2 linked regions of the Mus musculus genome follow. Each later gene encodes a partner of the first gene's protein in a complex. Links are inferred from orthologs where the notes say so. Each region holds a gene or a part of one and is shown in the gene's direction. Other genes may lie near its edges.

What was found.
Region 2: the proteins of Skp1 (region 1) and Fbxl3 are in contact, whole or in part, in a crystal structure (PDB 4I6J), measured with the Homo sapiens proteins. The link is inferred for Mus musculus from reciprocal best matches to the Homo sapiens genes SKP1 and FBXL3. Residues at the interface, in NP_733779.1 of Homo sapiens: Gln97, Leu100, Phe101, Ile104, Leu105, Asn108, Leu116, Asp117, Cys120, Lys121, Val123, Ala124, Ile127, Lys128, Gly129, Lys130, Pro132, Ile135, Arg136, Phe139, Ile141, Lys142, Asn143, Asp144, Phe145, Thr146, Glu149, Glu150, Val153, Arg154; in NP_036290.1 of Homo sapiens: Asp35, Trp36, Gly37, Leu39, Leu40, Ile43, Gln46, Val47, Tyr50, Leu51, Leu53, Leu54, Asp55, Ala57, His58, Ala59, Ser60, Gln61, Val62, Cys63, Arg64, Trp66, Asn67, Phe70, Glu82, Lys92, Ala93, Thr94, His95, Glu97.

The regions. Positions count from the first base shown.
Region 1 is NC_000077.6:52,244,096-52,247,861, forward strand, and holds the end of Skp1 (S-phase kinase-associated protein 1), read left to right. Parts: intron 1-885; coding exon 886-1,026; intron 1,027-1,889; coding exon 1,890-1,925; 3' UTR 1,926-2,763; downstream 2,764-3,766. UniProt on the Homo sapiens protein: Essential component of the SCF (SKP1-CUL1-F-box protein) ubiquitin ligase complex, which mediates the ubiquitination of proteins involved in cell cycle progression, signal transduction and transcription.
Region 2 is NC_000080.6:103,093,033-103,097,074, reverse strand, and holds part of Fbxl3 (F-box/LRR-repeat protein 3), read left to right. Parts: intron 1-1,533; 5' UTR 1,534-1,534; coding exon 1,535-1,882; intron 1,883-4,042. UniProt on the Homo sapiens protein: Substrate-recognition component of the SCF(FBXL3) E3 ubiquitin ligase complex involved in circadian rhythm function. Plays a key role in the maintenance of both the speed and the robustness of the circadian clock oscillation.

The DNA.
Region 1 (3,766 bases):
TAGAAGCAGAACTTCAAAAAGAGAAGAGGAATGAAGCACACAGTTGTGCAGGCATAGAAACTCCAGTGTTGCTTCTCAGTAATTATAACAAGTGGACAGAAAACCAGGTCAGCAACACTGCTGAACAGCTTGTCTTAATTTATATGTAGGATGTTATATTTAATTATGGCCATATAAATTCTTGTCAGGATAGACTAAGTTCTGGGCCATACAAGTCCCAGATGTAAAAGTATTCAAGTTATACAAAGTATGTTCTCTGACTTCAGTGGTAGAAGCATGAAAAATGTTTGAAGCTGGGTGCAGTGGTGCATACCTTTAATATAGAATATAGGGGCAGAGCTCTGAGTTTGAGACCAGCCTGATCTACATAGCATGTTTTAAGATACTCAGGGCTACGCGCAGTGAGGCCTTGTCTCAAAATAAAGTAAAACCTGGGGAAAAATTGTGAATATTTGAAAATTCAGTAATTTATTTTTAAGCCAAAGGAAAATTTTACATTAGTATTTCTAATTGAATTTAAATAAAACAACTTAAAATTTAGGATAAAGCTAAAGCAGTGTATAAGAAGAAAGCTAGTGCCGGGCAGTGGTGCCGCACACCTGCCTTTAATCCCAGCACTGGGGAGGCAGACGCAGGTGGATTTCTGAGTTCGAGGACGGCCAGGGCTACACAGAGAAACCCTGTCTTGAAACAACAACAAAAAACCCAAAAACCAAAGAAGAAAGCTAGTGAAAGGTGAAACTACATTGAAAATAATCAGTATTACAGGGCAGAGAATTTCATAAGAGTTCATTAAACGGGGTATCATTTTAAGCTCAATTTGATGTAAATTGTTAACCTTAAATATTCAGTACATATGACTAAAAAACCTGCTATTAATTACAGGCTGCAAACTACTTAGACATCAAAGGTTTGCTTGATGTCACATGCAAGACTGTGGCCAATATGATTAAGGGGAAAACTCCTGAGGAGATTCGTAAAACCTTCAATATCAAAAATGACTTTACTGAAGAGGAAGAGGCCCAGGTAGGTAGCACACAACCCATCTTCAATTGCTTTTTAAAAAGAAACTGGAACCCAATACCAAGACAAGAAAAAAAGCCCATCAGAAAGTCTTGGTCTTGTGCTGCTTACCCGAGAACACCTTTAAAATTTCCTTGATACCAGTGGGGCGTGGTGGCAAATGCCCTTTATCTCCCAGTACTTGGGAAGCTGAGGTAGATTGTGAGTTCCAGGGCTACATAGAGAAACCTGTCTTAGAGAACAAAAGAACTAATAACAACAAAAGTCTTGATACAAAGGCATAATGTGCATCTGTCTCTGGATCTAAGCAGTTAGGTGAGAGAGTTCTTGAAGACTTTAATTTTAATTCATGAGTATGATCATGGTGCCCAGAAGAGAGCATCAGATTTCTTGAAGTTGGAGCTACAGGTGGTTGTGAGCTGTGGGTGGGGGTGGGATAGGAATTATGTCCTCCAGGATAACAGTTTTAACCTGAGTTATGTTCAGCTTGCTACTGTTCTTTTAGAAACATAAGAAAAATGGATTTTGAACTAAAGAGGTTCTTCATTATCAGATTCTTTTTTTTTTTAAACCTGTGATATTTGTATAGGTTGTAAACTGTTGGCTTTAGAAATCAGGGCCTGATAATAGAAGAGTGGATGAGTTGGGTGTGCTTGCCAGCTTAGAAAGTGGGACTAGAGCTTTCAGTTGACATCTGCTGTTCAATGTTAGAAAGTTAGTCATCAGGTCTGCTTTTACTTAGCCTAATATTTTCCCAGCTTTCCATTTTCCTTTCTCATATGACATAGGCTATTGATGATACAGTATAGGTAGTGCTTAGCCATCTCAGGAAAGACAACTCAAGGTATACCTTCTGTCTCTTCTAGGTACGCAAAGAGAACCAATGGTGTGAAGAGAAGTGAACTGCTGTGCCTGTCACTGTAACACTAGAAGGGTTGTTCCAAATGCTAGTTGCACTGCTCTGTTTATAATTGTTAATATTAGAGATCAGTAGACAAACATCGCCTTGTCTTCACTGCATGTGTAGTTCCAGTCCAGATCAGACCTGTGGCTGAGTTTCTTCTGTGAGCAGAAGTTTCCTTTTCCCCCCATTACTCTGAATAAAACCGAACTATGGGTTCTCTGCGGAAAGTGGCATTTTGGGCTTTCCCTTTCTGTAAAGTGATTTCTGCCTCTAGTTCATTGTCCAGTTAACTTCAGTGAGCCTTTCAAAGTTGACATTGTAAATAAAACAACTTAAGAAAAGTATGCTGAAATAGAATTAACAAAACATGATACTTGTTCATGAATCGGAAACTGGAATAGGGCAGCTTGAAGTTAACCATGTGGGTGTCTTCCAACCTCTATGCTGCTGGTAAGCTTGAGTGCAGCTGGGCTCTCTTAATTGGATCTGAGGCCTTGTTTTTTCTTTTTTTTTTTCTTTTTTTTTTTTTTAATCTTCTCAGCTTTGAATATGTTGCCTAGAGATTTAGTTTACTACCCAGTTTGTGGTTTTGGAGTGGGAACTGTAACTCAACAATTTGTTAGCTTTTCAATTAAAAAAGACACTTACTTCATGTGGTATGTCATCTTTTTATCATCATTGTTCCCAGGTGGAGAAACACTACTTGCATGTAAAAATTAATTTAACCTTTTAACATTAAAGTGTATGGTAAAACTCAGAAAACAGCCATCCTAAGTGCAAGATGCTTTTCAATAAAAAGTAGTACAATAGGTAGTAAACAGTTGCTTTTGTGGATGTAAATGTGTTTCTTAATGAATTAAGGTTTTTTTTTTTTAAAGATTTGTTTATTATACATAAGAACACTGTAGCTATCTTCAGACACACCAGAAGAAGGCATCAGGTCTCATTACAGATGGTTGTGAGCAACTATGTGGTTGCTGGGATTTGCACTCATGATCTCTTACCCTCTGAGCCATCTAGCCAGCCCATTTGGTTATTTTTTAATTGTAGAGAATCTTGCTGAATGGTTGTAGATAGTACCCACATCTTTTTTAATCCCAGCACTTGTAAGGTCAGCCTGGTTTACAAAGGAAATTCTAGAAAGCCCAGGCTACAAAGAGAAACCCTGTCTTCAAAAGCAAAAGAAAAAAAAATTCAAGTGGGTTTTTTTTGTTGTTTTTTGTTTTTTTGAGGGGGTGGAGGGTGGGGGTTTGAGACAGGGTTTCTCTGTGTAGCCCTGGCTGTCCTGGAACTCACTCTGGACCAGGCTGGCCTCGAACTCAGAAATCCGCCTGCCTCTGCCTCCCGAGTGCTGGAAGTAAAGGCGTGCGCCACCATACCCGGTGATTTGGTTTTTTGAGGCAGGGTTACTCTGTAGACCAGGCTGGCCTCAAACTGCCTGGCCAGTGATTAGTTCTTAAGACGTAACTGCTCAGCCACTATTTTTAGCTTCCTTTATGGTAGATTTTCCCCTTTATTTTGTAATGCTGGACATTGAACACTAAGAGCTTTGCACACATTAAGTGCTCTCCCTCTGAGCCCCATTGCTAGACACTGCCTTTTCCTACTGAGGCTCCCATTTATTTTGTGTTTTTGCTAGCTAATGATAATCCCGTTACTTTACATTCTCGTTACAGTTGCTGTGAAGCATGCTGGCCTAGATTATCACTTTACACAGCAACTTGGCTCTTCCCTAGCAAAGCCTTAAATGTTGCCTTTTAATCCCCACTTTCTTTATTCTCAGATTAGGTTTAACTATGTATGTCTAGGCTGGCATTGACTCGGGGTAGGGTCCTCTTG
Region 2 (4,042 bases), on another chromosome or scaffold:
GAATGTTCCATAAAGCCATCTTGTCATCTGTTATTTTGTTTTCTGAATTCTGCTTTTCCTGGAGACTATGCCCTTTTGTGTGTGTGCATACAGTCAGATGCAGGAACAACAAAGGAGACAGTTCCTTTTTCAAGGCCTCCTGGACTGACGATGTAGGGTTGTGCTCTCTGCCATCCTGTTTGTTTTCTCCAGCCCTCAGCCCTTCTCTGCCAGCCTCTGGATGAGAAAGTCTGTACAGACGCATATCCTTCATACCACGGAGGAACCCGATTCTTGCGACATGATTTGTCACAAGTTGGTTGGAGTCAAGCCATCCTTTTGAGTCTTGTTTGGACCAGCGCCTTACTAGAATTGCTCTCTAAAAATCATGGTAGATCCTAGACTAAATACTAGTACCAAGGAATGGTCCAGGTTAGACTAGAGTGCAGTGTAAATAAAGTAACAAATGAAGATGTGTCCTTTGGAACTCTGATTACATGAAATAGCTGTATACAATGTAGAAAGAAAAAGAGCATATTGGGGAACATAGCTGGAGCTTGTGCCGCCCCACTGCGCATTTTCAGCTGTTACCCTAAGCTAGTGATGCTCTTGCCAGGGCATTTCTCTACACCACTGCTCCCTCCCCTTTTTTGAAAGAAAAATTAAATTGCTCTTCCCATTCTGGGGACAGTCACTTCTTTGTGATGGCTTCCATACTGGGCTGAGATGTCAAGAACCCTGTATCAAAAGATCACCATTTTGCAAACTGAAGCATCTGACAGTCTTGTACTGACAGTCTTGTAATTTCCCAAAGCCATGGAGCTATTTTGAAGTGTAGCTAGTATTCAAACCTCGAGAGAGCTTGGTCTTCGAGCTGATGGTACCGTTTGTCGTGAACATCTCATGGCATGAAGGGGGTAAGAATACATAGAAAAACCATGGCGGAAACATACAGAAAATGGACAGGAAAAACAGTGACAGTTATGTGTTGGGAGAAGAAACCATATCCTAGCTGAGACAAAGCTTAGCTTAGTCAGGCAGACTGCTGTAACTACTCATCTACTTCATGCAGCTGCAGGTCGAGCTTGGGCGGGAGTACTTAAGGCAGGGGCTTTACCATTGGGCTGTACTCTCAGTCCAGATTTACGTCCACCAAGCAGAGGTGGGGTATGTGTAGCAGGCTGTTCACAGGCTGTTCAGTGCAGCTCTGTTGACCACTTAAGAGTTTAGAGGTTCATGCGGACCTTGGTGTACCTTAAATTTGACAGAAAATTGGATTTTATCACTGTAGTTCTCCTTTAGAGTTGACTACAAGTTTTGAGTTATAAATTCATGGTTTACCTAAGTTATAAGTAGTTTTAAATGTAGCTGTTTAAAATCACTTCAGGAGTTTCATCTCCACCGGCAGGTTTCATTGCATTTTTATATTCTCCTTGAATTGTTGGGCCAGGTTTTCATGCGTATTTCTGTCCAAATCCAAACACATTTCAGTAACAGAAGATGAATTTGATCAAAAGTTAAGTAGGATGGGAAATGATGGATTGTCTTGAATAGGATGAAACGAGGAGGAAGAGATAGTGACCAGGACTCTGCTGAGGAAGGCACTGCCGAGAAGCCCAAGAGACCGAGGACGACACAGGAGCGCTCGCAGCCTTGTGACTGGGGTAACCTCCTGCAGGACATCGTCCTCCATGTTTTTAAGTATTTGCCTCTTCTTGACCGGGCTCATGCTTCCCAAGTGTGCCGGAATTGGAATCAGGTATTTCACATGCCTGACTTGTGGCGATGTTTTGAATTTGAACTGAATCAGCCAGCGACATCTTACTTGAAAGCCACACACCCAGAGCTGATCAAACAGATTATCAAAAGGCACTCAAACCACCTACAGTATGTCAGCTTCAAGGTAACCCCTTCCATCCTTCTGTTAACGAGTAAAGCGCCTCACTGCCGTTACTGTCACAGCCAGTTGAGCTTCTGATGTCCTTAGAATAGTGAACTTTTCAGGGAAAGTGCTTAAAGTTTTAAAATTATTGCATGCCTTTAAGAGTTCTTTACAAATATTTTTTTATATTTGCTAAAGCTAAAATAGTCCTTTAATTTCTTAAAAGAGCAAAAGCAGCCACTAAGTGAGTCTAAATAAGTGACTGAAGTTTTAAATTAATGGTGAATGGTTGGCAGCAAATTTGAGGGAAGAGAAATATATCACAAACGTTAGGGCAGTGAGTTTCCACCTGCTGCGCGGGACTCCTTGGAGGGGTGGTGGTGATGGTGTCAATTACTTTATGAAGTAACAATGGAATAATTTTATGGTTGGGGGTCACCACAACATGAGGAATTATACCTTAGGAAGGTTGAGAACTACTGCATTAGGACGGTTTGGTTTTGTTTGGGGGTGTTGTTTTATTTGTTTGTTTTGGTGGTGGTGGTTTGAGATAGGGTTTTTCTGCATAGTTTTGGCTGCCCTGGAACTCCACTCTGTAGACCAGGCTGGCCTCAAACTTAATTTCCTGCCTCTGCCTCCCAAGTGCTGGGATTAAGGGAGTGAGCTGCCACCACGACCAGTGAGTGTTGCTGGCTTTGATGCATTTTTAAAAAACCAACAAAAACACTAAAGATGATGTAGAGACTAAATAGTTCGAGTGTATTTTAGAAGGAAACAAAAGAGGATTCATGGAAAAATGCAAGAGAGCTGTTTGCTTCATTTCAGTGTTACAAGGGACACGTAAGACTCACAGAGTGATGAGGTGGGTGAAGGAAGGTAGCCTCTTGAGGTTTGAATAGTGTTAATCACAGTACCTATGTGAGAACAAAGGTTCAGCACATTGTATTTTGGAGATGAAGAAAGAAAAATGGGATGCTTGCTGAATCCTTAACGTTAATTTTTTTCTAATATGATTTCTAAATGATAGTTATTGTTAAATGATTAAACTGGGCTAGGCCTGGTGAGTCACTCATGTAGCTCTATGACTTGGGAGTCTGAGGTGAGAGAGAATCAACAATTTAAGGCCTTCTCTTAAAAATGTTGAGCATAAAAACCAAAAAGCTGTTGTAAAAGGACAGGAATTGCCTCGTTTGCCTCTATTTCCTGTTTGCTGAAGGGGCCAGCATAAAACCTGTCTAAGCAGTGCTCCTCACCTAAAGCTTCGTGCCCTCCCTATGCTGTCTTCCTCTAAGATAGGAGAGCTTGGTAATAGATATGGCTGAGTGGATTGTGGTCATAAAGGTACTGGGTTATCAGGCATAGGATTGCTAATCATAGCCAAAGAGAAAAGAGTTATCAGGACACTGCCTGTTAAGAGCAGCCTGGGCTACAGAGTGAGTATTTAACAGGAAGGACGCTGTTTCAAGAGGCAAACAAAGATGCCTAGTTAATTTTGACTTCACTGATGCCGATCAGTGTAGATGTGTCCCAGACAGACTTACTGATACAAGTTATTGTTTACCTGAAACTCCAGTAGGGTGCATTATTGTTTGATAAGGGGTAGGATTCAAGCAGACAAGTGTGGAGGGACTGCTTCCCCTCCTCCAGGGAGGAAACCTGAATTGCTTTCCCTTTGCTTTCGGTCATCTTTGAGTTGCCTTAGAAAACTGTAATGGCAAATGCTATAGAAAGGAGATTGTAAAGAGCATTCCTGCATATGAATGCAGGTCATCTCGGTCCTGGGTGTTCCTTTATAAGTCTATGACACAAGTCAGGTGTATCCAACAGATGGAGCTCATAAAACCAGTTGTGCTTAAGTTTAACATTTCTTGTTACAGATTTATTTGTGTGAGGAAGTAATTTCTAGTTTAGAAAGCAGACATGTCGCAGGGATTATCCTTAATATTTAAGTGGTCACTATAGGCTGGAAAAACTTAGAATCAGATTAATTAGTCTAAAACGGTGCTTTTCACGCTGTTCAGTAGACTCACCAAGGGGAGTCTAAAGGCAAACCGTGCTCAGTCCCACTCACAAAGTTTCTTAGCCATGTGGGCTAAGCATAAGAATTCCAATGGCTTCAGTACTTGGATGGTTTTCGTGCGGTCTAGGAACTTCATTTTGAGAACGACAGTTGGTACGACA